Elephas maximus indicus: one gene and its partner. Each later gene encodes a partner of the first gene's protein in a complex. Links are inferred from orthologs where the notes say so. Each region holds a gene or a part of one and is shown on either strand. Other genes may lie near its edges. The genes, in order: KATNB1 and KATNA1.

What was found.
Region 2: the proteins of KATNB1 (region 1) and KATNA1 are in contact, whole or in part, in a crystal structure (PDB 5OW5), measured with the Mus musculus proteins. The link is inferred for Elephas maximus indicus from reciprocal best matches to the Homo sapiens genes KATNB1 and KATNA1. Residues at the interface, in NP_083081.2 of Mus musculus: Leu485, Val486, Asp487, Glu488, Ala490, Met491, Gln493, Ile494, Arg495, Gly497, His498, Met501, Phe502, Val504, Leu505, Thr506, Arg508, His509, Leu512, Asp513, Val515, Arg516, Trp519, Thr521, Asp542, Leu543, Ile546, Gln549, Lys550, Leu553; in NP_035965.2 of Mus musculus: Leu5, Gln6, Ile8, Val9, Val12, Arg16, Ala19, Leu20, Leu21, Gly22, Tyr24, Tyr31, Tyr41, Leu50, Lys53, Trp54, Gln56, Val57, Glu60, Ile61, Val63, Glu64, Gln67, Val68, Asp70, Ile71, Thr74, Leu75, Ser77, Phe78.

What each region holds. Positions count from the first base shown.
Region 1 is NC_064839.1:24,623,241-24,638,246, forward strand, and holds the start of KATNB1 (katanin p80 WD40 repeat-containing subunit B1), read left to right. Parts: upstream 1-8,898; 5' UTR 8,899-8,993; intron 8,994-10,088; 5' UTR 10,089-10,349; coding exon 10,350-10,389; intron 10,390-14,380; coding exon 14,381-14,511; intron 14,512-15,006.
Region 2 is NC_064819.1:220,917,639-220,933,082, reverse strand, and holds the start of KATNA1 (katanin p60 ATPase-containing subunit A1), read left to right. Parts: upstream 1-8,424; 5' UTR 8,425-8,527; intron 8,528-15,444. UniProt on the Homo sapiens protein: Catalytic subunit of a complex which severs microtubules in an ATP-dependent manner. Microtubule severing may promote rapid reorganization of cellular microtubule arrays and the release of microtubules from the centrosome following nucleation.

The DNA of each region.
Region 1 (15,006 bases):
CTCGTTCTATGAAGCCACCATATCCCTGATACCAAAACCAGGTAAACACACCACAAGAAAATTATAGACCTATATCCCTCATGAATGTAGATCAAAAATCCTCAACAAAATTCTATCCAACAGACTTCAACAACATATCAAAAAAATAATTCACCATGACCAAGTGGGGTTCATACCAGGTATGCAGGGATGGTTCAACATTAGAAAAACAATTAATGTAATGCACCACATAAATAAAAGATAAGAATCACATGATTTTATCGATTGATGCAGAAAAGGCATTTGACAAAGTTCAACACTCATTCATGATAAAAACTCTCAGCAAAATAGGAATAGAAGGAAAATTCCTCAACATAATAAAGGGCATTTATACAAAGCCAACAGCCAACATCACTCTAAATGGAGAGAGCCTGAAAGCATTCCCATTGAGATCGGGAACCAGACAAGGATGCCCTTTATCACCACTCTTATTCAACATTGTGCTGGAAGCCCTAGCCAGAGCAGTTAGGCTAGATAAAGAAATAAAGGGCATCCAGACTGGCAAGGAAAAAGTAAAAGTATCTCTATTTGCAGATCACATGATCTTATACACAGAAAACCCTAAGGAATCCTCCAGAAAACTACTGAAACTGACAAAAGAGTTCAGCAGAGTATCGGGATACAAGATAAACATACAAAAATCACTTGGATTCCTCTACACCAACAAAAAGGACATCAAAGAGGAAATCACCAAATCAATGCCATTCACAGTAGCCCCCAAGAAGATAAAATACTTAGGAATAAATCTTACCAGAAATGTAAAAGACTTATACAAAGAAAACTATAGTACATTTCTATACCTTGCTCGTGGATAGGAAGACTTAACATTATAAAAATGTCTATTCCACCAAAAGTGATCTATACATTTAATGCAATTCCGATGCAAATCCTAAGGACATTGTTTAATGAGATGGCGAAACAAATCACCAATTTCATATGGAAGGGAAAGAGGCCCCGGATAAAGAAGGCATTACTGAAAAAGAAGAACAAAGTGGGAGGCCTTACTTTACCTCATTTTAGAACCTATTACACCGCCACAGTAGTCAGAACAGCCTGGTACTGGTACAACAACAGATACATGGACCAATGGAACAGAATTGAGAATCCAGACATAAATCCATCCACATATGAGCAGCTGATATTTGGCAAAGGCCCCAAAACAGTTAAATGGGGGAAAAGAGAGCCTTTTTAACAAATGGTGCTGGCATAACTGGATATCCATCTGCAAAAAAATGAAACGAGACCCATACCTCACTCCATGCACAAAAACTAACTCAAAATGGATCAAAGACCTAAATATAAAATCTAAAACGATAAAGATCATGGAAGAAAAAATAGGGACAACGTTAGGAGCCCTAATACATGGCATAAACAGTATACAAAACATAATTAAGAATGCAGAAGAAAAACTAGATAACTGGGAGCTCCTAAAAATCAAACACCTATGCTCATCCAAAGACTTCACCAAAGGAGTAAAAAGACTACCTACAGACTGGGAAAAAGTTTTGAGCTATGACATTTCTGATCAGCGCCTCATCTCTAAAATCTACATGATACTGCAAAAACTCAACTGCAAAAAGACAAATAACCCAATTAAAAAATGGGCAAAAGATATGAATAGACACTTCACTAAAGAAGACATTCAGGTAGCTAACAGATACTTGAAGAAATGTTCAGGATCATTAGCCATTAGAGAAATGCAGATCAAAACTACAATGAGAATTCATCTCACTCCAACAAGGCTGGCATTAATCCAAAAAACACAAAATAATAAATGTTGGAGAGGCTGTGGAGAGATTGGAACACTTATATACCGCTGGTGGGAATGTCCAATGGTACAACCACTTTGGAAATCGATTTGGCGCTTCCTTAAAAAGCTAGAAATAGAACTACCATAGGATCCAGCAATCCCACTCCTTGGAATATATCCTACAGAAATAACAGCCTTTACACGAACAGATATATGCACACCCATGTTTATTGCAGCACTGTTTACAATAGCAAAAACATGGAAGCAACCAAGGTGCCCATCAACAGATGAATGGATAAATAAATTATGGTATATTCACACAATGGAATACTACGCATCGATAAAGAACAGTGAGGAATCTGTGAAACATTTCATAACATGGAGGAACCTGGAAGGCATTATGCTGAGTGAAATTGTTGCTGTTGTTGTTAGGTGCCATCGAGTCAGTTCAGACTCATAGTGACCCTATGCACAACAGAACAAAACACTGCCCGGTCCTGCGCCATCCTTACAATCGTTGTTATGCTTGAGCTCATTGTTGCAGCCACTGTGTCAATCCACCTCGTTGAGGGTCTTCCTCTTTTCGCTGACCCTGTACTCTGCCAAGCATGATGTCCCTCTCCAGGGACTGATCCCTTCTGACAACATGTCCAAAGTATGTAAGTCGCAGTTTCCGCATCCTTGCCTCTAAGGAGAATTCTGGCTGCACTTCTTCCAAGACAGATTTGTTCGTTCTTTTGGCAGTCCGTGGTATATTCAATATTCTTTGCCAACACCACAATTCAAAGCTGTCAACTCTTCTTCACTCTTCCTTATTCATTGTCCAGCTTTCACATGCATATGATGTGATTGAAAATACGATGGCTTGGGTCAGGCGCACCTTAGTCTTCAGGGTGACATCTTTGCTCTTCAACACTTTGAAGAGGTCCTTTGCAGCAGATTTGCCCAATGCAATGTGTCTTTTGATTTCTTGACTGCTGCTTCCATGGCTGTTGATTGTGGATCCAAGTAAAATGAAATCCTTGACAACTTCAATCTTTTCTCTGTTTATCCTGATGTTGCTCACTGGTCCAGTTGTGAGGATTTTTGATTTCTTTATGTTGAGGTGTAATCCATACTGAAGGCTGTGGTCTTTGATCTTCATTAGTAAGTGCTTCAAGTCCTTTTCACTTTCAGCAAGTAAGGTTGTGTCATCTGCATAACACAGGTTGTTAATGAGTCTTCCTCCAATCCTGATGCCCTGTTCTTCTTCATACAGTCCAGCTTCTCAGGTTATTTGTTCAGCATACAGATTAAATAGGTATGGTGAAAGAATACAACCCTGACACACACCGTTCCTGACTTTCAACCAATCAGTATCCCCTTGTTCTGTCCGAACAACTGCCTCTTGATCTATGGAAAGGTTCCTCACGAGCACAATTAAGTGTTCTGGAATTCCCATTCTTCGCAGTGTTATCCATAGTTTGTTATGATCCACACAGTCGAATGCCTTTGTATAGTCAATAAAACACAGGTAAACATCCTTCTGGTATTCTCTGCTTTCAGCCAGGATCCATCTGACATCAGCAATGATATCCCTGGTTCCACGTCCTCTTCTGAAACCGGCCTGAATTTCTGGCAGTTCCCTTTCGATACACTGCTGCAGCCATTTTTGAATGATCTTCAGCAAAATTTTGCTTGCGTGTGATACTAATCATATTGTTCTATAATTTTCACATTCAGTTGGATCACCTTTCTTGGGAATAGGAATAAATATGGATCTCTTCCAGTCAGTTGGCCAGGAAGCTGTCTTCCATATTTCTTGGCATAGACAAGTGAGCACCTCCAGGGCTGCATCTGTTTGTTGAAACATCTCAATTGATATCCTATCAATTCCTGGAGCCTTGTTTTTCACCAATGCCTTCAGAGCAGCTTGGACTTCTTCCTTCAGTACCATTGGTTCCTGATGATATGCCACCTCTTGAAATGGTTGAACATCGACTAATTCTTTTTGGTATAATGACTCTGTGTATTCCTTCCATCTTCTTTTGATGCTTCCTGCATCGTTTAATATTTTCCCCATGGAATCCGTCACTACTGCAACTCAAGGCTTGAATTTTTTCTTCAGTTCTTTCAGCTTGAGAAACACCGAGTGTGTTCTTCCCTTTTGGTGTTCCACCTCCAGCTCTTTGCACATGTCATTATAATACTTTACCTTGTCTTCTCAAGAGGCCCTTTGAAATCTTCTGTTCAGTTCTCTTACTTCATCAATTCTTCCTTTTGCTTTAGCTGCTCGACGCTCAAAAGCAAGTTTCAGAGTCTCCTCTGACATCCATCTTGGTCTTTTCTTTCTTTCCTCTCTTTTCAGTGACCTCTTGCTCCTCTTCATGGATGATGTCCTTGATGTCATTCCACAACTCGTCTGGTCTTCGGTCACTAGTGTTCAGTGCATCAAATCTGTTCTTCAGATGGTCTCTAAATTCAGGTGGAATATACTCAAGGTTATATTTTGGCTCTCATGGACTTGCTCTGATTTTCTTCAGTTTGAGCTAGAACTTGCATATAAGCAATTGATGGTGTGTTCCACAGTTGGCCCCTGGCCTTGTTCTGACTGATGATATTGAGCTTTTCCATCGTCTCTTTCCACAAATGTAGTCGATTTGATTTCTGTGTGTTCCATCTGGCGAGGTCCATGTGTATAGTTGCCATTCATGTTGCTGAAAAAGGATAGTTGCAATGAAGAAGTCGTTGGTCTTGCAAAATTCTATCATTTGATCTCCGGCATTGTTTCTGTCCCCAAGGCCATATCTTCCAACTACTGATCCTTCTTCGTTTCCAACTTTCGCATTCCAATCGCCAGTAATTATCAATGCATCTTGATTGCATGTTCGATGAACTTCAGACTGCAGCAGCTGATAAAAAGCTTCTATTTCTTCATCTTTGGCCCTGGTGGTTGGTGCATAAATTTGAATAATAGTCGTATTAACTGGTCTTCCTTGTAGGCGTATGGATATTATCCTATTACTGACAGCGTTGTACTTCTGGATAGATCTTGAAACGTTCTTTTTGACGATGAATGCAACACCATTCCTCTTCCAGTTGTCATTCCCAGCATAGTAGACTGTATGATTGTCCAATTCAAAATGGCCAATACCAGTCCATTTCAGCTCACTAATGCCTAGGATATCGATGTTTATGCGTTCCATTTCATTTTTGATGATTTCCAATTTTCCTAGATTCATACTTCATACATTCCAGGTTCCGATTATTAATGGATTTTTGCAGCTGTTTCTTCTCATTTTGAGTCGTTGCACATCAGCAAATGAAGGTCCCAAAAGCTGTACTCCAACCACGTTATTAAGGTCGACTTTACTTTGAGGAGGCAGCTCTTCCCCAGTCATCTTTTGAGTGCCTTCCAACCTGGGGGGCTCATCTTCCAGCACTATATCAGACAATGTTCCGCTGCTATTCATAAGGTTTTCACTGGCTAATACTTTTCAGAAGTAGACTGCCAGGTCCTTCTTCCTAGTCTGTCTTAGTCTGGAAGCTCAGGTGAAACCTGTCCTCCATGGGTGACCCTGCTGGTATCTGAATACCGGCAGCGTAGCTCCCAGCATCACAGCAACACACAAGCCCCCACAGTACGACAAACTGACAGACACGTTCAGTGAAATTAGTCAGTTGCAAAAGGACAAATATTGTATAAGACCACTATTATAAGAACTTGAGAAATAGTTTAAACTGAGAAGAAAACATTCTTTTGTGGTTACGAGAAGGGGGAGGGAGGGAGGGAGGGAGGGTGGGAGAGGGGCATTCACTAATTACATAGTAGATAAGAACTACTTTAGGTGAAGGGAAAGACAGCACACAATACAGGGGAGGTCAGCACAACTGGACTAAACCAAAAGCAAAGAAGTTTCCTGAATAAACTGAATACTTCGAAGGCCAGCGTAGCAGGGGCAGGGGTCTGGAGACCATGGTTTCAGGGGACATCTATGTCAATTGGCATAATAAAATCTATTAAGAAAACATTCTGTATCCCACTTTGAAGAGTGGCATCTGGAGTCTTAAATGCTAGCAAGCAGCCATCTAAGATGCATCAGTTGGTCTCAACCCACCTGGATCAAAGGAGAATGAAGAACACTAAGGACACAAAGCAATTACGAGCCCAAGAGACAGAAAGGGCCACACGAACCAGAGACTACATCATCCTGAGACCAGAAGAACTAGATGGTGCCCGGCTACAACCGATGACTGCCTTGACAGGGAACACAACAGAGAACCCCTGAGGGAACAGGAGAGCAGTGGGATGCAGATCCCAAATTCTCATAAAAGGACCAGACTTAATGGTCTGACTGAGACTAGAAGGACCCCAGTGGTCATGGCTCCCAGACCTTCTGTTGGCCCAGGACAGGAACCATTGCTGAAGCCAACTCTTCAGACATGGATTGGACTGGACAATGGGTCGAAGAGGGATGCTGGTCAGGAATGAGCTTCTTGGATCAGGTGGACACTTGAGACTATGTTGGCATCTCCTGCCTGGAGGGGAGATGAGAGGGCAGAGGGGGTTAGAAGCTGGCAAAATGGACACGAAAAGAGAGAGTGGAGGGAGAACGGGCTGTCTCATTAGGGGGAGAGTAATTGGGAGTGTGTAGCAAGGTGTATATGGGTTTTTGTGTGAGAGACTGACTTGTAAACTTTCACGTAAAGCACGATAAAAATTATATTAAAAAAATATATTGTCAAACAAAGCCAGATACCGAAAATATGTGTGTATGTGTGTGTATACATATATACGTATATATTTCCACTTATATAAAGAACAAAAACAGGCAAAATTAGTCAATGGTATCAGAAGTCAGGACAGTGGTCATTTTAGGGGTGTAAGGGTTAGTGAATGGAAGGGGGAGCCAGTGGGGCTTCTGGGGTGCTGGTAATATTCTGCTTCTTGACCTGTGTATTTTCTGTTTGTGAAAACTCATCAGCCTTGAACACGTATAATATGTGCCCTTTGGGGTATGTATATTGTACTTCAGTAAAAAGTGTTCTAAAATGCTGGTCACGAATCTAATCAAGCCTCCAGACCTAACTTCCAGTTTATGGGAAATTCAAGAGAAGAGGAACAAGATAAATGACAGGAGGAGGAATCAGACAAATCTACAATGAAGCACAATTTACAGGGTAAATGGCCTGGGGTCTTTTAAAACAGGTTGGGGGACTGAACTAGAATGAGTTTAAAAGAGCCAAGTGTGCTGAATCTTAATTGGTTCCTGGTTAGGAAAAAAAGTTATCAAACACGTTTTCGGGAGGATTGGGGAAATTTGAATATGGAGTGGATGCGAGAGAATTACTAGTTCTCTTAGTATTTTTTTTTAGTATGGCGATAACGGTTATATAAGGGCATTAGTTTTATGAGCTGCAAACTCAGTAGTTTGTGGGGGGTGGGAGGTGGCAAGTGGCATCATGTCTACAACTTTCAAATGGTTCAGGAAAAATACACATACAGAGAACAAGTATATATGGGCCATCATATTCTTCTTTCAAGTTTTCTCTATTAAGTTTCTCAACGTTAAAAGAGTTTTGATCAGATGTCACTCTGCTAATCTAGTCCTCTTTTTAATAATGCCCATTCCCCTCTCAGGGTATGCTTCCCAAAAGTACATAAGGGCTGGACCCAGTTGTCTCTGGCAGAGGGAACAGTAATGGGGAAGCCCCTAGGCTTTGGCCTTAAGAACAGTTACTTTTTGACTGTGTGGCCTGTTACAAGAACTTTAACCTAGGCGTCAGTTTCCCCACCATTTCCTTATTGTAGCAGTTATCATGTTCACCTCACATGCGAAATGTCCCGTTCTTTCCCGGGCGGAAACAACACAAGTTCTTTGGAAACCCTGGTAGCTTAATGGTTAAGAGCAACGGCTGCTAACCAAAAGGTCGGTCATTTGAATCCACCAGGCGCTCCTTGGAAATCCCATGGGACAGTTCTACCCTGTCCTGTAGGGTCACTACGAATCGGAATGGACTGGACGATAACGGGTTTTTTTTTTTTTTTTTTTTGGTTCAGTTTCCCCATCCGTAAATGGGAACAATTTCTATCCCTTTGGGCTATTGTCAGCCTTCACTGACAAAACAAAAAAAAACATATTGTATGATTCCACTCTGACCTGAGGATAAACGGACAGGTTGGAGGGTCTTTAGGCGCTGGACGCTGAGAAAGCTGGGCCACTCTCTCCGCCCGATGGGGCATGACCCGGGGTTAGGCGAGAAGAGGCGTCTGTCGGGCCGAGTCGCTCCCAAGCATCCCCCTGGCCAGCTGGACCACGCGAGGTCCCAACTCATTCCCGAATCCCACCCCACCTAATGAGTCACAGTAGGGTCGGCTTTTCTCGGATTCCTAGTTTGTGATCATCTTGAGGGAGAAGCTACTTGCCCACGCATTCATTCGCAGAGGCCGCGGCTGTGGGCAGCACTCCTGGGCTCTATGCCTGACTCGGACCCGGAATCAGATTCTGTCCCCCGCCAGGCCTCCTGTGGGAGATTCAAGGCGGGGTCCGGGTCAAAGAACGGGGGCAGAAGTCCTCAGACTACAGCAGTATTGCCGGAGGGCAGAGGGAAGAAGCAGGAACTGAACCAAGATGCTGACTCAAGACTCCGCCTCGCTTCGCCCCACTTCAAGATGGAAGGTCCGCAGCTTCTCGCTGCTCCCGAAGTCACCTTCCCATTGGCTTTCTTCAAATTGGTTTTCCAATAATGCGGACGCTGATTGGTCTATTCAGGAAGATTACTAAAGCGATTGGCGCAGCTGCCCTTGGAGGGCGTCGCGCAGAGGTTTCAAACGCAAACTAAGTTTGAGTACGAAAAGGAAAGGGGAAGGGAAGGGAAAGGTTGAGGCGGAGGCGGGACCAAGGAAATGGGAGCTCGCATTGGTTCATTAGAGTACGAGGGGCGTATCTTGGAGGCTTCTTCCTCGTGATTAGTCCGATTCAGGAATAGAGGGCGGGTACTTGGGAAAAGCGGCAGAAGCGCCTGCCTCGATTGGTCAAACCTGGCTGGAGGCGGTGCGTCCTCGGCGGCTGATTGGTGCAGAGGATGAGGTGGGCGGGGATCTGGGGCCTGAGGTTTTGTTGTGAGGGTCGGTTGTCAAGCAGCGGCCAATCAGGGCAGGGGATGGAGGCTAGTGGGGGTCTCGCCGGGAGCGGAGCCTCGGCCTCCGGAGCCACAGCTGCAGGTGAAGTGGGCGAGGGGGCGAGGGCATGATGGGTCCCAGGCTAGGGCAAGCTAGGCAGGGCCGGACTGGGCGGGGCTGCGGCGGAGAGGGCTCCTGGTCCGGGGAGGCAGGAGCCGGCCCCGAAAGCTGAGAGGGATGGGAGGATCAGGCGCGGCCCGGGGGCCAGTCCCAGCCTCTAGAGGAGCAGGAACGTTGTCGGGGCTGGAAGGGGTAACTAGGGAGGCTGGAAGCAGGTCTGGGGGTCTGCAGGAGCATGGGTAATGAATACTAGAGGCAGGAGAGTAAATGAATGGGGGATACTGGTAGCAGAAGGGGAAGGAGAGTTAACGGGACCTGGTGGGGCAGGGCCCAAGTTAGGGGGCTCAGGAGACGGGACGTGCATGAATTAGACACATAGGTGGCAGGAGGAAGGGGCAGTGAACGGAGGACTAAGGGGGCAGAACTGGGAGAGGGGATTCTCAGAAGAAGAGGGATGGAGTGGGAGAGGGTTCGTGGGAAAGAAGTGAGGTGGATGTTGGGTGGCCCCACGAGGTGGAGTCGTGCTGGTGTCTGGAGGCCTAGTCCCCAGCACTGCCCTTGAGAATCGCAGGGGGCAGGAGTGAATTCTCATGCCACAAACAGGAAGCTTGAACCCTTAGGGGTCTCCTTGAGGTCCTTCCCAGAGAGGAGGACCTCAGTGCCTGTCTATGGGGTACCTCTCACAGCCCCTGCAAAGCTTATCCTCTGACTTCTCCCCGCCTTGCCGTATGTCAGACAGAACAGCGACTCCTAGAAATCCATCTGAACTGCAGACATGTGGTCTGCACTGTTGCGGCTGCACTTAGGCAGCCAGCATCCAGGGGCAGAACCTCGTCCCATCATCCTGGCCTCTGGGAGGACCTCTGTTTCCCATTGTTCCAAGTCCCCTTGCTTGAATCTCTGCAGATTCTCAAACCCAATTTGTAGCACAGCTCCTGGCTCTGGTGGCTTTGGTGGGTGTCTTATCTTTTTCAAGTGGCCTTGGTGATCAGGCAGCTGCAGGTCTATAACCCCAGGGTTCTCCTGAGCTCCCACCTCTTGTTTTCTAACCAGCCATCACCTTTGTTTGTGTTCCAGCCCAGTGTTGAGCGGTGATGGCTCAACCCTGATATTCCATGATCCCAGATCCCGACGGGCATGCACAGGCTGCTGTAGCTCCTGTTGATGATTTAAAACCACAAAGGAGTGGGGGGCCAGGACACAAGGCATTCCCTCTGCCTGGATGTGTGGGAACTCCGTGCCAACTTGACTGGTGGATCTGGGGGGGATCCACCCCCACCCCGAGAGGAAAGCGTGTCTACTTGGTGGGCAGAGCTCCAGGTACTAGCCAGCTGAAGAATGGCCACCCCTGTGGTCACCAAGACAGCCTGGAAGCTGCGTGAGTGGTTTCCTTTTTTCTTTTTCACCCCATTTATCCTTTGATCCATTTGTTGCTGGGTCACCTGAACCCACTGCACTGCCTCGGAGTGAGACAGGTGAAGATGTGTAAGATAAATCATGATCGTGGCACTTTCTTAGCTGGGCAACATTGGGCAAGTGACTTAACCTCTCTGATGCTCAGTTTCCTCATCTGTGAAATAGGATAGTCTCATTGACTTTCCAGAGTTGCCGTGAGGGCCAGATGAGATAACGAACATAGACACTTACCACAGGGGCTCACGCTTCTAAGGTCCTTCATTAGTGTAATTGTTTTTCCAGGGGCTGAAAGATTTCCAGTTAGACTGGCGGGAAGGATGGGGTGAGAAATCCTGACAGAGGTTCTTGGGCATTTTCAGACACATCACAAATCAAATTTTCCCCATCAGATAGAGGCGTCTTGGGGTGGTTAGCCGAGCAGGAGACAGTGAGGGGTGGGGAAATGGATGCTGATGGGCCCTGGAATGTAACCCAGCCCAAGCACCACCCACCCACTGGTCCTCTGTACTGTTGTTAGGTGCTGTTGAGTTGATTTTCTACTCATAGCGACCTGATGTGACAGAGCAGAACTCCCCCATAGGGTTTTCTAAGCTGTAATCTTTATGGGAGCAGATCGCCAGGTCTTTCTCCCTTGGAACTGCTGGGTAGATTCAAACCACCAGCCTTTTAGTTAGCTGCTGAGTTCTTAATTGTTGAACCACCAAGGGTCTTTTCCTCTGTACTAGCAGCTCTCAAACTTTCTAGTCTTAAGACCCTTTTATACTCTTAAAAACTATTGAGGATCCCCACCCCCCCACCGCCCCCACAAAGAGCTTGGAAGAAGGGAGAGCAGGATATGGGGAAGGGCTCCATCACTTTGTAACCATGAGACCCTGGACAAAGCCCTTTGGTGGCTTGAGTTTCCTCATCTGTAAAATGAGAAGTTTGGGCCGTTTTCAAATTGTTCCCAAAGACCTGGGTCCTGGGAGAACCTTGTCATGGGCCCCCAGGAGGGTACACTTTGGATGGAGTATCTTTGTGTTTGTTGGGATTATGTATCCATGCCTTCATCATTGGGTCTTTCCTGAGCACAGAGCCAGGCACAGGGGAGCCTTTGGGGGGCAAAACAGACAAGGTCCTTGTGCGCTGGAGCTCAGAGCCTGGAGAGAGTGACAGGCAGGAATTAGATAACCACACCCACACCCATCCATCTCTCCTGCTCTAATTTGAAGCTGGGACATGTGTTTTGAGTCAGTTAACAAGGCAGTAAGGGGTGGGAGAGTGCAGTAGGCTTCATGCACAGCATGTGGAAGGCCCCAAGGCAGGAAGCACAGTGCACTGGAAGGAGGCCAGTGGGCTGCAGGATAGCAGCGTGGGGAGTGTTGTGCCACATGAAGCTGGTAAGGCTTGCAGGGGCCCATGTCTGTGAACCCCAGCCCAAGGCCAAACCACTGAAATGTTTAAGTGGGAGGCAACATACCAGGCATATTGGGCATCTGCCAGTGATTTCATTTGCGTAGCAGTTTTCATGGGTATAAGCTGTCTGAAGAGCCCAGGACCAAATGACCTCTGACACCTTGCTGGGGTCTGGTGAGGATCAGAGGGTGCTTGGCCAGCATGGGGTCATTGAAGCCCAGTAATTTGTACCTTTGGTTTGGGTTGCAGGTCCCCAGTGTCTCTGGCCAGAAAGCCCAGTGTTCCCCAACTCTGGCAGAGATGTGAGGCCCAGCTTTGTGCCACCTGGGCTTGGAAAACTGGTGTGGGCTGTGCCCCTAGGTGGAGCTGCGGCTGGCAACATGGCTTGGTAGTAGATACTGTGAGAATTATTTGTATTAAAATTGGCACCAAAGCCAGGGCCACCCATGGTTGTTGTCCTTCGGGCCAGGCCAGAGGGGAAGCTGTCAGGCCAGTGCCCTGTGTTCCCAGGTGCCTCCGTGAGCATCAGATCAGTCGCCGCTCAGGCTGCTTAAAGGAGAGTGGCCTGGGCCCTTCCAGAAGGAGTCAGCCTCCAAAGCCCCTCAACCTAGCATCTGTGGTTCTGCACGCTGGATGCCCTGTCCCGGGAACATCCGGTCACTGTCGCAGGAAGGCAGAAACCTTCTTGCTCTCATTCCCCACTGCTGCCCCAGTGCCAGCTCCCCAGGAAATATTTATGTCCTAAATGAACAGCAGTCGCTGGGGCAGTAGTCCTGAGCCTAGAGGGCAGCATGCACCCACAGAGGCCCAGTGAGGTGGAACCTTGTGGGATTTCCAGGACAGATGAGAGCAATGCAGACAACTGCGGCCTCAGTGAGAGTCATGGACGGAGGGCAGTGCATGCAGGGATGTCTTGAAGAAGGAGATTAGCTCGTGGCTTGGGGGCAGGGTGCTCAGGGAGAAGGTGGCCTACCCTCCCTGGCCTGGGCGGCCATGTTTTTCCAGCAGAAGCTCTGGAACAGTCCAATGTCTGTGGCTGGAGCACCCCAGGTGTCTGTCCCTGCAGTGTCTAGATGACAGAAGGCTCCATGGGTGAGATGAGGTCTAGAGAGGGCCCAGCTCCCTTGGACCGACATGGCAGGGTTCCTGAGACCCCAGCTGGTGCTCGGGCCTGTTGAGACCTCTCAGCCTTGCTGGGGTTGCGGCTAGGTGCTGCCCTGAGGTGGGAGAACAAGCCTGAGCCTGGTCTCTGGGCATTTGTGAGGGCCCCTCTGAGCCAGGCTGCACCCAGTTTCCCCACCTCCTGTGGTCTGATGCCTGCGCCATGGAGTCACCTATGCAGGGTGGGGCCCGGAACTGGGGTGCAGGAGTACCTGCAACACCCTTTTCCTCGTGTCACCCCAGCCAGCCTCCCAGTTGCCCCAAGGCACTGGTACGTTGGGGTTTTCCCTCTGTCCATGTGAGGAGATTTATCTTTCCCTTCCTTGTTCTCAGGAGCAACCCTCTCAGGGACTGGCACAGAGGCCTGGGCCCACCTCTTGGTTCCTTGCCTATATTTGTTCCCTTTGGAGCAGTGATGATGCCCCTCTGAGGCTTATGTCTGCTGTCCCCACGGCATCCCACTAGTCCAGGCCAGGGGCCCTGATGGCTGCATGCAAGGACCCCAGCTTCCTCTCGTCTGTCAGTGCTCACCTCCTGCCCTCTTACCTCAGACCCCTCAGTCGCCTACCACCTTCCCCTCCTCCTCAAACCCCGCCTGGGGCCCCAGTGCCCAGTGGTGCCCTCAGTGACTATTCCTTAGCCTGCTGAACAACCATGGAGCACTGTCTCCTGACTCGGCAGCCTGCGTATGTTCTCGGTGAATCCTTAGCAACCCAGGAGGTAGCGCTGTCATCATCCCCATTTAACAGACGAGGAACCTGGCACTCAAAGAGGGTGAGTGACTTGCCTAAGGTCGCACAGCCAGCAGCAGCAGAGCCTAGAACCCAGATCTGGCCTCTGTGTCTGTGGGCTGAAGCCCTGTGCAGTCTCACCTGGTGACAGCTTGTCTAGAGCTGACATGAATGATTCTCACAGTGCCTTTCCCAAAGGGGGGTTTGCGTGCCCCTCAGACGGCATCTGCAAGGGGCTTAGGTGGTACATGGGTATATATATTTTAATTTTTTTTTATTGTGTTCTTTTTCTACAGTAGAAAAAGTATACTGAACACATCAAACGTGTAATGTCAGCAATATTATTAAGATGAAGCTAAATAAAAACAGCAAATCCATATAAAAAATCAGTAAGTCAATATTACCAGCCGAGGTGCAGAAAAAGGAAAAAAAAAAAATTGTGAGGCTTAAGGGACAGAAATGACTCAAGTTGAGAGACAGGCCCAGGCACCCGAGCCCTGCACTGTCAGCGGGTCCTGCAGCGCCTGAGAAGGGGTCCTGAGGGAACCCAAGGGAAGAAGGAGGCAGAGCCCCGCACCAGCCTGCGGGTTCTAGAGCTTATAGCCGAGCAGGGTGAGGACCCGCCAAGCCTCCTGACTGTCTTTCCCTCTCCTCTTTCCTGTGTAGAGGAGATTGTCGCCCACGCCAGCAATGTGTCCTCACTGGTGCTGGGCAAAGGCTCTGGGCGGCTGCTGGCTACAGGCGGGGATGACTGCCGCGTCAATCTGTGGTCCATCAACAAGCCCAACTGTATCATGGTGAGCCTTGCTAGTGGTGGGGGGTGGGGAGGGGGGTGGGAGGGGTCACGGGCAAGGGTCTGGGAGGGGGACTGTGCAGGTTCTGTTGAGCTCAGGGTATCATATCATCTGGGGGCCCAGCCAGAGGGCGTGGTGGGGTACACAGCACACCAGTGCCCCCCATGCTGTGTGCTTGGGAAGGCCTAGGACAAGCCAGAATGGCTGAGATAGCGGCTAGCCCTCAGGAATAGGGGAGTCACCTGGCAGTGGGACAGAAACCAGGAGTCTGCATGAGAAAGTTAAAATAAGTCCACAGACCTGTGGTGGAGCCATGAGGCTTACCCCCCCCACCCCACCCCCCACCCCCACCAATCTGCCTGCCTGTCAGCTCCATGTGGGTGTTTATTTATTAATTCATTCCACAAAAGGATTTGAGTAGACCTGGTTGGAGCTGGTTCAAGAGCTGGTTCTTTAATAGCATCTTACCCCTAATTACACAAGTAAGACATAATCAAT
Region 2 (15,444 bases), on another chromosome or scaffold:
TTTTATCTTTTTGTATGTGTGCATTTATTGATATAAATTGACCTCTGAGCACTGGTTTCGCTGTGTCCCAAAGGTTCTGATAGGAAGTGTTTTCATTCTCATTGGATTCTCTGAATTTCTTTATTCCATCCTTAATGTCTTCTATAATCCAGTCTTTTTTGAGTAGGGTATTATTCAGTTTCCAAGTGTTTAATTTCTTTTCCCTGATTTTTCTATTATTGATTTCCACTTTTACGGCCTTATGCTCAGAGAAGATGCTTTGTAATATTTCAGTGTTTTGGATTCTGCTAAGGCTTGCTTTATGACCTAATATGTGGTCTCTTCTAGAGAATGTTCCATGTGCACCAGAAAAGAAAGTATTGGGTGGAGTGTTCTGTATATGTGTATGAGGTCAAGTTCGTTGATTGTGGCATTTAGATCTTCCCTGTCTTTATTGACCTTCTTTCTGGATGTGCTGTCCTTCACCAAACATGGTGTGTTGAAGTCTCCTACTATTATTGTGGATCTGTCTATCTTACTTTTCAATGCTGATAAAGTTTGTTTTATGTATCTTACAGCCCTGTCATTGGGTGCATAAATATTTAATATGGCTATATCGTCTTGGTGTATTGTCCCTTTAATCATTATATAGTGTCCTTCCTTATCCTTTATGATAGATTTAACTTTAAAGTCTGTTTTGTCAGAAATTAATATTGCCACTCCTCCTTTTTTTCTGCTCTTTTTTGATCGTTGTTTGCTTGATATATTTTGTTTTTCCATCCTTTTGGTTTGTGTCTCTAAGTCTAAGTTGTGTCTCTTGTAGGCAGTATATAGACGGATCGTGTTTTTTAATCTATTCTGCCACTTTCTGTATCTTTATGGGTGCATTTAGTCCATTTATATTCAGCATAAGTACGGATAGATATGAATTTAGTGCTATCATTTTGATACCTTTTTTTTGTATCATGTTGACAGTTTTTTTTTCCCCACTTAATTTTATGTGCTGAGTAGATTATATATTGTTCTTTTCTCATATTTGTTTTTGTTGATTCTGTTTCTGCTGAGTCTCTATTTTTTTCTTGTATTTTATTTTGATGAGTAGGATAGTTTGTCTCCTTTGTGGTTACCTTACTATTTACCCCTATTTTTCTAAATTTAAACCTAATTTTTATTTCTTTGTATGGCCGTATCTTCCTCTCCATATGGAAGGTCTATGATTACATTTCTTAGTCCTTCTTTATGGTTTTAATGTTGTCTTCTTTTGTATAATAACATCGTTGTTACCCTGTTTGAGCTTTTTTTTTTTTAAATCTTGCTTTGTTTTTTTTTTTTATTTCCCTGTCTGGGTTGACTTCTGACTGCTCTGCCCATTGTTGTAGTCTTGGGTTGATACCTGGTATTATGAATTTTCTAAGCAAAGAACTCCCTTTAGTATTTCTTGTAATTCTGTTTTGGTTTTTACGAATTCCCTAAACTTCTATTTATCTGGAAATGTTAATTTCACCTTCATATTAAAGAGACAGTTTTGCTGGATATATGATTTCTGGCAGGCAATTTTTTTCCTTCAATTTTTTAAATAAGCCATCCCATTGCCTTCTTGCCTGCATGGTTTCTGCCAAGTAGTCCAAGCTTATTCTTATTGACTCTCCTTTTTAGGTGACTTTTTGTTTATCCCTAGCTGCTCTTAAAATTTTTTATCTTTGGTTTTGGCAAGTTTGATTACAATATGTGTTGGTGACTTTCTTTTAACTTCTACCTTATGTGGAGTTCGACGAGCATCTTGGATAGATACCTTCTCATCTTTCATGATATCAGGGAAGCTTTCTGCCAAGAGATCTTCAACAATTCTGTGTTTTCTGTTATCCCTCCGTGTTCTGGTACTCCAATCACTTGTAGGTTATTTCTCTTGATAGAGTCCCACATGATTCTTAAGGTTTCTTCATTTTTTTTAATTCTTTTATATGATTTTTCTTCAAATATATTAGTGCCAAGTGATTTATCTTCAAGTTCAGAAATTCTGGTTTCTACTTGCTCAATTCTCCTCTGACTTTCTATTGAGTTGTCTACTTCTGTAATTTTATTGTTCAGCTTCTGAATTTCTGATTGCTGTCTATGGATTTTTCCAGTTTATTAAAATTTTTTATTATGTTCCTGAATAATCTTTCTAATTTCTTCAGTTGCTTTATCTGTGTGTTCCTTGGCTTGTTCTGTGTATCACCTCATTTCCTTCCTGATGTCTTGAAGGGTTCTGTATATTAAACTTTTGTATTCTGGCTCTGGTAATTCAGGAATGCACTTTCATCTAGAAGATCCCTGGATTCTTTGTTTTGAGAGCTTGTTGAGGTGATCATGGTCTGTTTCTTTATGTGACTTGATATTGACTGTTGTCTCCAAGCCATCTATAAGTTATTGTATTAGTTTATGTTTGCTTACTGTGTCGTAGCTTCTTGCTTTGTTTTGTTTTAATATGCCCAAATGGGTTGCTTGAGTGAGCTAGCTTGATTATTTTTGCCTTTGGAGCTCTGACATACTCTCCCCAGATGGCTAGAGCTATCATCAGGTATATCAGTCTAGGAGTCCATTCAGTTTTCTTGTATGAATTCAGCTCATGTGTCCAGGTAGCTGATCAAGTATGTGGTACAGGCTCTGTCCTACAGTCTTAGAGGGGTAGGGGTGATTGGTGTAGGTACCAGTATCTGGCTGGAGCAGGGGGTCATGCTTTGAACAAGGCAGGGGGTTGAGAACCACCCCCCAAGTGTCTCTGAGGAAAGCGTGTCCCTGTTCCCTAGAGCGTGCAGGTGGGTGGGTTCCGCAGACGGACCATGGGTACCTAATGTTTTTGGTTGTAAGGACTGGGAGGTACCAGTTATCCTTGGACCCCTGTTGTAGGTGGCTGGGTGACCTGAGTGGAGCTACCAGTCCTTAGGCCCCTGATGTGGGTAGGTGAGGACCCTGTTTAATAGGCAAAGCAATGTCAAACATCAAACACCCACCTCTCTGCCACATAGCTGAAAAGGGTTGGAGTCTGCCAACAAGGGACTATTCTGCTGAAATAGGCCCACACAGGTCCATGCAGAGGGGAAAGGTACTTAAAGTCCACAGACCTTTTATGCCTGAACAGGAGCCGCTTCTGTCCTGAGCTCCCCTGGTTAGTGTAGGTGGCAAATTATCTTTTCCCCCAAATGCAAATTTTTTCCTTCTCCAAGGCTGGGAGGATGGCTCTGGGCACGTAACAGTGCCTATCTGAGGCCCAGGGAATTCAGCAGCTGAAGCTGGCTTGGGGGTTGGGTGGGCGCGGTAAAATATTCGCATGTACTTAGCCTCTTCTCTGGTTCTGGAGGTGTGAGTAGGCTGTGTGGCTGGCTGCTTCTCCCTGTAGAAGCTGCGGCTGAATGCTAGTATCAGCCTGCCACACCCGCTCAGGTCCGGTAACTCCTCTCTGCTTCTGAACGGTCTCTTCCTTCGGCTGCTCCTCAGTTTGTTTTCTAAGGTTGCCGTTGATGCTCAGGGCTCGTAGCTTGTCATAAATATACTCGTTTCACTTGTTTTTTTTTTTTTGGTCTTTGTTGTAAAGAGGGCTCGCTGGAAGCATCTGTCTATTCTGGAATCTTGGCTCCGCCCTCTGTTTAACTTTTGAAGGAACCACAAAAACGTTTAACACAGTAGCTGCAGTATTTTACATTTTCACCAGCAATGGATCAGGGTTTCTAATTTATCCACATTCTTACCAATGTTTGTTATTTTCTGGTTTTTGGATAATAGCCTTACTAGTGGGTATGAAGTGGTATCTCATTGTGGTTTTGATTTACATTTCCCTAAGGAGCCCTGGTGGGGTAGTGGTTAAGAGCTTGGCTGCTAACCAAAAGGTCGGCAGTTTGAATCCACCAGCCACTCCCTGGAAACCCTATGGGGCAGATCTACTGTGTCCTGTAGGGTTGCTATGAGTTGGAATCAACTTGATGGCAGTGGGTTTTAATGACTAATGATGTGCATCTTCTCATGTGCTTATTTACCATCTGTATATCTTCTTTGGAGAAATATCTATTCAAGTCTTTTGCCCATTATTTAATTGCATTAGTTGTTTTGTTGTTGAATTGTAGGAGCTCTTTATATATTGTGTACATTAAATGCTTATCAAATACATGTTTACTGCCTTAGTTATTTAGTGCTGCCATAACAGAAATCCCTATAATTAGAACAGCAATTATTTTCTCACAGTTCTGGAGGCTAAAAGTCCAAATTAGGGTCTCAGCCATGTTGATTCCCTCCTTGTCAGTAGCCAAGGGTGTTCCTTGGCATTCCTTGGCTTGTAGACAGTCCTCATATGAAATCTGTCTTCCCCCTGTGCGTGTGTCTCTGTGCCTATTCTGGTCTTTTTATAACTCAGAAGTGATTAGGTTTGAGATCCACCCTATACTGGCACAACCTCCTTAACGTAACAAAAGAAAAACCTCTATTTCCAAACACATTACAGGTACAAGGGTCAGGATTTCAACACTGTTTTGGGGGAGGAGACAATTTATAACATTACACCCTTCTTCTGGGGATAAATGTCAGAAGGACAAAGTCACAGGTTACTTTCTTGATTTGGTCTCATTAACGTACCAGAGAAATCCTATTCCTAAATGGGGTTATATTCACAGGTATAAACCCGTTGCCATTAAGTCGATTCCAACTCATAGCGACCCCGTAGGACAGAGTAGAACTGCCCCATAGAGTTTCCAAGGAATGCCTGGTGGATTCGAACTGTGGACCCCTTGGTTAACAGCCATATAGCTCTTAACCACTGCGCCACCACGGTTTCCTCCACAGGTGTAGGGATTAGGATTTTAACACATTTTTTTGGAGGGGGGACACAATTCAACCCTTTAGCCTCCTAAAATTCATATCCTTCCCATATGAAAAAAGACGTTCACCCTGTCAGATCATCCCCTAAATTCTTAACCCATTAAGCATCCTTGTCTTGTTTCTGATCTTAGCGGGGAAAGCTTTTAGACTTTCACCATTCAGTATGATGTTCACTGTGGGTTTTTCATAAATGCCCTTTATCATGTTGATGAATTTCCTGCCTGAAGTTTTTTCTTTTGAATCATGATAAAGGTGTTAGGTTTTGTCAAATGCCTTTTCTGCATCAACTGAGATGATCATGTGTCCTTTTTTTTCACTAGTGTAGTGTTAGAGTTGATTTTCTTAAGTTAAATGTTGTTTTTGAAATACATTTTCATTTACTTTAGTAATAAAGGTTTTCTCTTTCAGGATTTTAAAGATGTTGCTGCACTATCATCTGTGTAGCATCATTTCCAATGAAGTCTACTGTCGCTCTTTTCTTTGTTCTTATGTATTCTTCCCCCCTACCCCCCTGGTTGCATTTAAGGTTTTTCTATCACTGGTACCAAGCAAGTTAATTATGATGTGTTTTGATGTAGTTTTCTTGATGATTCTTGTGTTTGTGATTTATTGAGCTTCTAGGATCTGTGGGGTTATGTTTTTCATTCTGTTGAGTCATGCTTGGCCATATTACTTGCTTTGGCCATTGAAATAAGAGCAGAAGTAGCATTATCATATTCAGGCAGAATCTCTGCAGTTTGTCTCATTTTGTTTTTTCCACTGCCAGGGGTTCCATTTCCTGCATCCACTCTGCTGGCAACATGTAGAGTGAATACAGAATTCAGTAGTGTCCCCCAACACTTCATGTCCACCCAGAACCTTGGAATGTGACCTTATTTGGAAATAAGGTCTTTGTAGATATAATCAGTTAAGACGAGGTCATATTGGATTAGAGGGGGCCCTAAATCCAATATGACTGGTGTCTTTATAAGAAGAAATGAGACAGAGACATGTACAGATAGAATGCCAGCCATGTAAATATGGAGGTTGAAATTGGAGTGATGGAACTACAAGCCAAGTGTTATGGATTGAATTGTGTCCCTCAAAAATGTGTGTTAACTTGGTTAGGCCATGATTCCCAGTATCCTGTGAAAGTCCACCATTTTGTCATCTGATGTGATTTTCCTATGTGTTGTAAATCCTACCACTATGATGTTAATGAGGCAGTTATGTTAATGAGGCGGACTCTGTATACAAGATTAGGTTTTATCTTGAGTCAGTCTCTTTTGAGCTATAAAAGAGAGAAGCAAGCAGAGAGAGGGGGAACTCCTACCAACAAAAAAGCAGAGCTGGGAACGGAGTGCATCCTTTGGTCTCAGAGTCCCTGCACTGAGATGCTCCTAGACCAGGGGAAGATTGACAACAAGGACCTTCCCCCAGAACTGATAGAGAGAGAATGCTTTCTCCTGGAGTTGGTACACTGAATTCAGACTTCTAGCCTCCCGTAAGAGAATAAATTTCTTTGTTAAAGCCATCCACTTGTGGTATTTCTGTTATAGCAGTACTAGATAATTAAGACACCAAAGAATGCCAAAGATTACCGGCAAACACCAGAAGCCAGGAAAGGGCAAGGAACAATCCTCCCCTAGAGACTTGAGAGCATGGCCCTGCTGACAACTTGTTTTCAAACTTTTAGCCTGCAGAGCTGTGAGAAAATGAATTTCTGTTGTTTTAAGCTACCAAGTTTGTGGTACTTGTTAGGGCAGCCTTAGCAAACTAATGCAGTGAAAAAAAAATCCTGCTATTTAAACCTTCTGTGACTTAGGAATTATACACCATAGCTTAGTCTTCTCTGACTAATACAGCTAGTGAAGAATTGGAAGTAGTGAATGTAAACCATTCTCTCAAGACTTTTTTTACTTTAAAAAATGTTACTGAGGTATAATTTATGAACAATAAAATGCATGTATTTTATTTGTACTCTAATGAGTTTTAATAAATGGATACACCTATGAAGCCACTACCCCAGTCAAGGTATAGAACATTTCCTTCACCTCAGAAAACTTCCTCATACTTCTTTGCAGTTAACAGCCCCTTCCCAAGTCATCAATCCAACCTGAGGCTGTTAATATAGATCAGTTTTGCCTGTTGTAGCACATAAAGGGGATCATGTAATATGTAGTCATTTTGAGAAAAATTTATTAATTGGCTTAATAAGTTAGCATATCTTGGCATTCATATAAAAGGTGAAGGCTGAATTCAGCCTAATTAGGGTGGGTAACTATTTCTTCAATTGGTTTTGTGATCTCTATAGTTTCTTGTGCTCCATTATAATAGAGTTCATATCATAGCAAAACTATTTTCTACTTTACTGATAATCTTGAGACTTTAAGCTCCATAAAACATTCTTTTTTAAAAAATTATGGTAAGTATGTATATATAGATATATATAAACATTTGCATTTGAATATTTTTACAAGTACAATTCAGTGACAGTAAAACCTACGAAAGCCAGAACCTGTGTAAGGTGGAAACCTGTCAGAGAAGGAAAACACATATTCCACTCCAACAAGTGATAGAAAAGTAGTAAGATTACACCCTCTCAAAGGTGGAAAACTTGGGAGACCTAGAAAAACAAGGCAGTCCCGTTGAATTCCGGCTTTCACAGGTTTCACTGCATGTTCACCGTGTGCATTTTGTCCCCCACTGAATACTCAGTGCCTAACACAGTGCCCTGGCAAATAGTTGCTCAATAATTATTTGTGGAAGGAAGATTTTTTTTTCCTGAATTGCTTTTATATAAATATTAAATTACTGGGATGATTTAATGCTAGGAATTTAATTCCTAACATTAGTAATTCCTAAGTCACAAAAGTTTCAAGTGTCATAAGTGCCCCTATTCGGGTTTAGGTCGGGGTGGGGGATGGAGGCTAAGACTGGAGGCAGCAAAGCCAACAGCATTGTCCAGTAGGATATCTGTAAATCATGAAACAGTTTTGTTGTCTCATACTGAAACAGTGACACACACACACACACCCAAAATCCACCATTAGAGAATCTAAATATTTTTGTTTGCCCCCTCCCTACCTATTTTAGTCACATTACGTCGTGACAAGGCCCTCTGCCGAAGAATTCTGAGAACTGGGTTCTAAAATTTGTCATAATCGAATTGTTTAATACTGCAACACTTACCTGTAAAAGAGACACTCTGACTTCCTAACTTTAGAGGAATGCGGTGAAAATCAAATGGGAGACAATGTGAGCTAGCACTTCGGCAAAGGTACTGAGGTAAGCCAGGTAGTACAGGTCACGACCACTCCCACCTAGCTCCCTCAGCCGAGAGGAGGTGACGCGGGCGCGCAGGCGCGCCCCCGCGGCCTGGCTCCGCCCAGCGCGTGCCCGGGCGCCGGCGCGCGCACGCCGCCCGGCGTCCTCGCTCCCGGGCGTCGGCCCGCGTGCGCTGGGGTCGCTGCGGCCGCTCCCGGCACCGGAAGTGACGATGTGTGTTTGCCTTCAAATCCTTGGCTAGCACAAGAAGCGCCCGGGGGCGGTGACGGTTGGCCTGGGCTGTCCGGGTTCTGTGAGCGCAGAGTGGGGGTGGGGGTGGGGGTGGGGGGAGGTTTGGGGCTGAGTCTGACTTTCTGGCTGCCGGGAGCCGCTCTCGGCCCTTTCCCCTCCGCCTGGCTGTGGGCGGCTTCCCCAGGAGCCTCGGCCGCCACAGGTGAGTGTTCGCTCCCCGGTGCCGTGGGGACCCAGGTGCCCGGGCCGCCGAGGGCTTCAGGGGGCCTCCGGTGAGAGCCTGCCCATGCATGCGTCGGTGTCTCGGGTCCTAGCTCTTGTCGCCGACACCTGTGGCTCAGGTGACTGTTCTCCTCCTTCCTGAGGAATCCTGTCCAGCCAGGCACTCTTCGGGGGCTCTGCAGATCCCACCCCCTGGCCCGTGTCTTGAGGGAAGTGTCCGGCCGAGAGAACCGGTTTTTAATTCTGTGCAGTTCTGGCTGGTGCTCTCCGGAACCCGTGCGCGCCCCAGGCCCGGAAACCCTTCCTCCTGAAAAACCACGACATAGGGATGTAGCTTCCTTTCTTGTATTTTTTTAGTTGGTGTGTTATCGTTGAGGGTGTTAATTTCTTATTTAGATTATTCTAGAGCTGGTCGTCCTCTGGGAGGTTTATGGAGTTGGTACCTTTTAGAAAACGTATCCCTCGAAACATTTGTTTCATACCGTATATGGTGACGGAGATAGAGGTAAGCATGGACCCTCAAGTGCCTTACCGTGGATAATCTCCGGCCTTAACTGCGAATTGTTACTTTTATATCAGTTACCAGCTTTTAGCAGCACAGTGGTGCGCCCTTTTCTCTTGAAAGCACTAATTTATGTCTTTCTTCTTGAAACCAGACCTTTAGTTACTTTTGAAAGCATTCCGAATGTTTTAGAATGTGTGCGATGGATCTTTGCCACGGCCGCAAGGACAGAACATAAGGTGTCAAGAATGGTTTGCGTAATATTTATAAGGGCCAAAATGTCTCAACATGAAGTCCTGTTTTCTTTTCCAAAGGAGATGGTTTTGTAATCAGTGAGTTCTTACACAAAGAAATAGCATCTGAACTCTTTGTCTTATATTAATAACTTGTGGCATATATCATGCCTTAAAAAAAAAAGGAGGCAGTGCTGATCAACTTTCCAACATTCCTAGACTGTGAAAAGCAATATAAAGCTCTTTTATGGCTTTGGTTATTCAAGAAGCTTTTACATGTTATGGATTTAGTACTTGGAATTACTACGTAGCATACAAGGAAGGCTGCAACTTACTTTCAAACTGGCGTCTCGATTTGAAAATTTGTAGTCTTAGGGCATCATGTAGAATTTACTGTATTAACATCGTTGAAATGCTGTTTACAACAACGCCTTTTTTTTTTTTTTAGCGACTTGACTGTTTAAAAAAGATAGCATATCAAATCAATATGGTCAAAGTTGATAACATGCTAAATAGATTTCGCTTGTGTTTATTGAGATGGCTTGAAATGGCGTTTAGTTTGTGTTTTAATTGCTATACTCACTGATTTATTTTTGTTTAGAGTAAACTGAAAATTATCCAGTTATCCTTCTTTTGAGGGAAAGTTTACCAAATACATATAATGTAGACTTTTATATGTATATATTTTCTGAGCAGGGTTACTTTTGGTGTTGTTTTTTACGGTGGTAGCTTTCCTGTGCTTGAGTATTTATCATGTGATGATTATAAAGGTAAGGAAAACGTATGCCATGTTATAATTAGTCATGGGTCCCTCATTTATTCTGCTTTTTCATAATCATCAGTGACACTTTAAATTAGCATCATGATTGCATTCATATCCCAGAGATGACCATTCCGAAAATTGCTTAACCAGCAATCATGTTCTGTTTTTATTTTAGGAAATAAGTTTTGCAGATGAATTTTTGAAAAACATTAGCAGGCTTCCAGCATCGTTATTGACTCTTTATCCTGTGTTTAATATCCTATGCTTGTTTGCTCTTACTTAGCAAAGAAAAAAAAACACCTAAAGAGATAACCTTTCTACTACACTTCAAAGATTTTGAGGGCTAATTCCGTCTTACTTATTTTTGTCTTCAGTGCACTTCCTTTCAGCTCAGTAAGTGCTTCGTAAATATTTCTTGAACGAATGCTCAGTAGGTGATCCTTAAATATTTCTTGAATGAATGACCTATGGGTAGGACGTTAAAAACTACAGTATAGGTAGAACCTAGCCTAAAAAAAAAGAAATTTTTTTTTTTTTTTTTTAGTAAGAGGGGCAGGGGCTGCATTTGTTGTTTTTGTAGAGAATAGGAATCTTAGAACTCAAGTATTTTGATCTTCTGGTAGAGGTGCCACATTGCATCAGACGTGAAATTTCCTAGGAATCTTAATGGAAAATTGAGTTTTTAGTATTAGTTTTAAAAAACATGGGCTCTGTTATTGATTTACAGTAGTATTAATTTTGAAAAATGGGCTCTGTTACTTGATTTACAATTTCACTTGCATGTTAAAAAAACCACCCACTGCCCTCGTTACTCAGTTTAAATAGATGAATTTAGTCATTAACCAACTCACGCCTTCAAACCATATAAGCAAAAGGGTGATTCTGATAGGTTAACCCAAAGGAAAAGCTGACAGCGAAGTAAATGAGGCATAGCCGGAGCTTATTTCTCTCTCTAACGATATGTCTAACCAAGAGTCTGAATTTTTGGACAGTCTCATTTTTTATGGGTAGCGTTTACCACTTTTGTTGATTAAAACTCGGTCTGTCAACCTTTCTGGAAATACGTTTATTTCGTCAAATATTGCCAGGTATTGTGCAAGGTAGACCCCTTTTCTGTCTTTCTACAGTATGATTTTAGCAGTGATAAAGACATATTCTTGATAATTGGAGAATCATAAGTTTACAGTGTTTTCATTCATTTGAAAAGGATATTTTAGGCTTAGAGACTATGAAAGGATTAGGAAAAATTATTTTTGTCTAATATTTGGTTACCTAATGCTTGCTTTGTGACTGTTTTCAGTAAATACGTTATTCCTTTGATAACCAAGAATTTTTCAGGTCCTTTGTTAATATGGCCTTGGATTGACTTTACATTTCTTTTTGTTAGAAAATGACAATTCATTGTCTGCTAACAAATTTTATCTCACTAGAAAGAGAACTTCGTAACACAGAACCTTTAAACAAAGCCTGGAGTGACTTCTGAGTTTGGGACCGTTGAACAATGGCCCTCAAAAAGAAAAGTAAACAAAAGATCACCTATATATATAAATAGCACCTTAATTCAGATTTTTTTTTTTCTTCTAATGCGAATGGGAAGAAAGATATGGAAGGAGTCTTAAGCAAGGAGGGAGAGGGGAAAAGACATGAGAGGCCCGACATCCAAACTCATTCACATCAACTGTATACGTCCAGCAGTTGGGCCTGTTTATACTGTTCTAACACTGTTGCTCAGACTAGATGTCACTATAGGGCACGTGTGGCTTCAAGGCAGCAGTGATTATGCAGGTGTTAAGCAATAACCCTAGCTCTGGTGGTGATGAGTTGAGGATCAAAGAATGTGAGAGTGCAGAGGGGTGGGAACTGGACAAAAGTAAGAAATCTTAGTTAAGACAAAAACCTGGAAGTATTTTCGTTCAAAGATTACTGACTATCTGCTGTGTGCCAAACATGGTTCTTAGTACTGGGGATATAGCAGTGAATAACAGAGAGACATGATCCTTGACTATGGAGCTTTTATTTGGATAGAATATTGTCAGTGGTTATGACTTCAGGGAGTAACTATTTAGGTCACAGGATTTCCTTCGTTTCCTGTTGGACCTCAGCTGTTCAGTCTCAGTCTTGAGTTACTCATAGACCTCAGTTTATAACTGTATTGCTACATAACAAATTACCCCAAAACATAGTGCCTTAAAACAAACATTTATTATCTCACAGTTTCTGTGGATCAGGAATCTGGGAAGGGCTTAGCTGAGTGCCCTGACCCAGGGTCTTTCACAAGGCTGTAATCAAGGTATCAGCCCTCAGTGTAGTCATCTCAGTGCTTAACTTGGAGAAGATCTGCTCCCAAGGTCACTCACATGGTTGTTGGCAGAATTCAGTTCCTTGTGGCCATTCAGCTACGGCTTCAGCTCCTCACTGGTTGTTGGCCTGGAGTCTCCCTCAGTTCTTTGCTGTGTGAGCCTGTCACAAGGCAGCTCACAACATGGTAGCTGGTTTTCCTTAGAGTGCACCAGCAAGAGAGAGAGAGGGCAAGCAAGATGAAAGTCACAGTCTGATGTTGGAAATGACATTTCATTATTTTTGCATATTCTGTTTGTTAGAAGTCCACATTGAGTGGGGAAGTAATTACCCAACGGTATGAATACCAGGAGGCAGGGATCATCGAGAGCCATCTTAGAGGTCAATATCATTATGTATATAAGGACTTTTTCTCTTATTGTGTTTTTTTGTCCTCCCTGCCCCAGTCCTTTCGCTACTCACATTTCCCTACCTCAGCCTCCATAGACACTCAGTATATGTTCTTAGATATGTATGTATCCTTTAAAAAGTTTTATATAATGTATGGCTTTTTCATTTATAAAATGATATTGGGACTTAAGTCTTGTTCTGTGTCTAAGATTTTTTTCACCCAACTCTGTATTTTGATGATCTATCCATGCTGCAATTTGTAAATTGTGTTCGTTGTTTCCGCTACATGGTCCTACATAACGTTCATTCACAGTTTTTTTTTTTCATTCACATATTTTCTTCTGCATTCTTTCAGCAGCGAATAAACAGACTGCCTCCAGCTCTGATTTCCCAGACGTTCTGTCATTAACGTGTGTACGTCCTTGTTGTTATTGGCTGTGGAGTAGACTCATGGGGACCCCATGTGTGCATAGAAGAACCCCTCTGTAGGGTTTTCAAGGCTGTGACCTTTCAAAAGCAGCTCACCAGGCCTGTCTTCCAAGGCACTTCTAAGTGAGTTCGAACCCCAGTGTTTTGGCTAGAACCTAGTCAGGTGCTTTACCTTCTGAGCCACCCAGGCACTCCTAAACATCTAATTCCAAGTCCCTTTATGGATCTTTGTGAGACTGACTCTGGAATATTTGCACAAGACTGGGATCGTTGGGTCAAAAAATACATATGCATACGTAATTTCCCTAAGTACTGCCAGATTGTTCTCCTAAACAGCTGTACAGTTTATGCCCATAAATTATATGTGAGGCTTTCTCCCCCTCCCCAAATCCTTGCCGATACTTAGTATTATTGGACTTAGTAATTTTTTTTAAACCTGGTAAATGTAAAAGGAACCTCTCATTGCTTTCATTTGCGTTCATTTGTTACTAGTGTCCTGTACATGTTAGCCATTGGGTTTTCTATTTCCATGAATTGCTCTTTATGCTCTGTAGTCATTTCCCTGTAAAGTCCTTTTGTCCATTAGTGTGATGAATTACAATGATGGATTTTCCGATCTTAAGTCACCCTTGGATTCCTGGGGTGAAAAAAGGTGAAACCTTACCTTTAAACCCTTCTTAATCATGATATGCGTATGTGTTTGTTTTAATTTTATTTAGTTTGTTGTTGATATTGAAAATATACACAGCAAAACAGTTTCTGAATGTATAATTCAATGACATTGATTCCATTTCTTTGAATTGTGCAACCATTCTTACATTCTTTTTCTGAGTTGTCCCCCCATTAACGTAAACTCACTGCCCCCTAAGGTTCCTGTCTAATCTTTTGAGTTGCTCTTGTCACTTTGATCCCATATCAAAGAGCATAATGCTCAAAGCAGGCAGTTTTTATTAGTTAAGCTGAACTGCAGTTTTAAGAAGACTTCAGGAGATACTTTTGGTTTCAGATTTAAAAATTATCTCAGGGCAGTACTTTGAGGGGTTCACCCAGCCCACATGGCTCCAGAAGGTCTGTTGTTCTTGTTAGGTGCTGTCGAGTCGGTTCCGACTCATAGCGACCCCATGCACAACAGAGCGAAACACTACCCGGTCCCACACCATCCTTACAATGGTTGCTATGCTTGAGCCCATCATTGCAGCCACTGTGCCAGTCTACCTTGTTAAGGGACTTCCTCTTTTCTGCTGACCCTATACTCTTCCAAGCATGATGTCCTTCTCCAGGGACTCATCCCTCCTGACAACATGTCCAAAGTATGTAAGATGCAGTTTCACCATCCTTGCCTCTAAGGAGCATTCTGGCCGCACTTCTTCCAAGGCAGATTTGTTCGTTCTTTTGGCAGTCCTTGGTATATTCAATATTCTTGGCCAACACCGCAAGTCAAAGGCGTCAACTCTTCTTCAGTCTTCTTTATTCACTGTCCAGCTTTCACATGTATATGATGTGATTGAAAATACCATGGCTTGGGTCAGGGTCACCTTAGTCTTCAGGGTGACATCTTTGCTCTTCAACACTTCGAAGAGGTCCTTTGCAGTAGATTTGCCCAGTGCAATGCGTCTTTTGATTTCTTGACTGCTGCTTCCATGGCTGTTGATTGTGGATCCAAGTAAAATGAAATCCTTGACAACTTCAATCTTTCCTCCGTTTATCATGATGTTGCTCATTGGTCCAGTTGTAAGGATTTTTGTTTTCTTTATGTTGAGGTGTAATCCATACTGAAGGCTGTGGTCTTTGATCTTCATTAGTAAGTGCTTCAAGTCCTCTTTACTTTCAGCAAGCAAGATTGTGTCATCTGTAGAATGCAGGTTGTTAATGAGTCTTCCTCCAATCCTGATGCCCCGTTCTTCTTCATGTAGTCCAGCTTCTCGGATTATTTGTTCAGCATACAGATGAAATAGGTATGGTGAAGGAATACAACCCTGACGCACACCTTTCCTGACTTTAAACCAATCAGTATCCCCTTGTTCTGTCCGAACAACTGCCTCTTGATCTACGTAAAGGTTCCTCCTAAGCACAATTCAGTGTTCTGGAATTCCGTTCTTCTCAGTATTATCCATAGTTTGTTATGATCCACACAGTCGAATGCCTTTGCATAGTCAATAAAACACAGGTAAACATCCTTCTGGTATTCTCTGCTTTCAGCCAGGATCCATCTGACATCAGCAATGATATCCCTGGTTCCATGTCCTCTTCTGAAACCGGCCTGAATTTCTGGCAGTTACCTG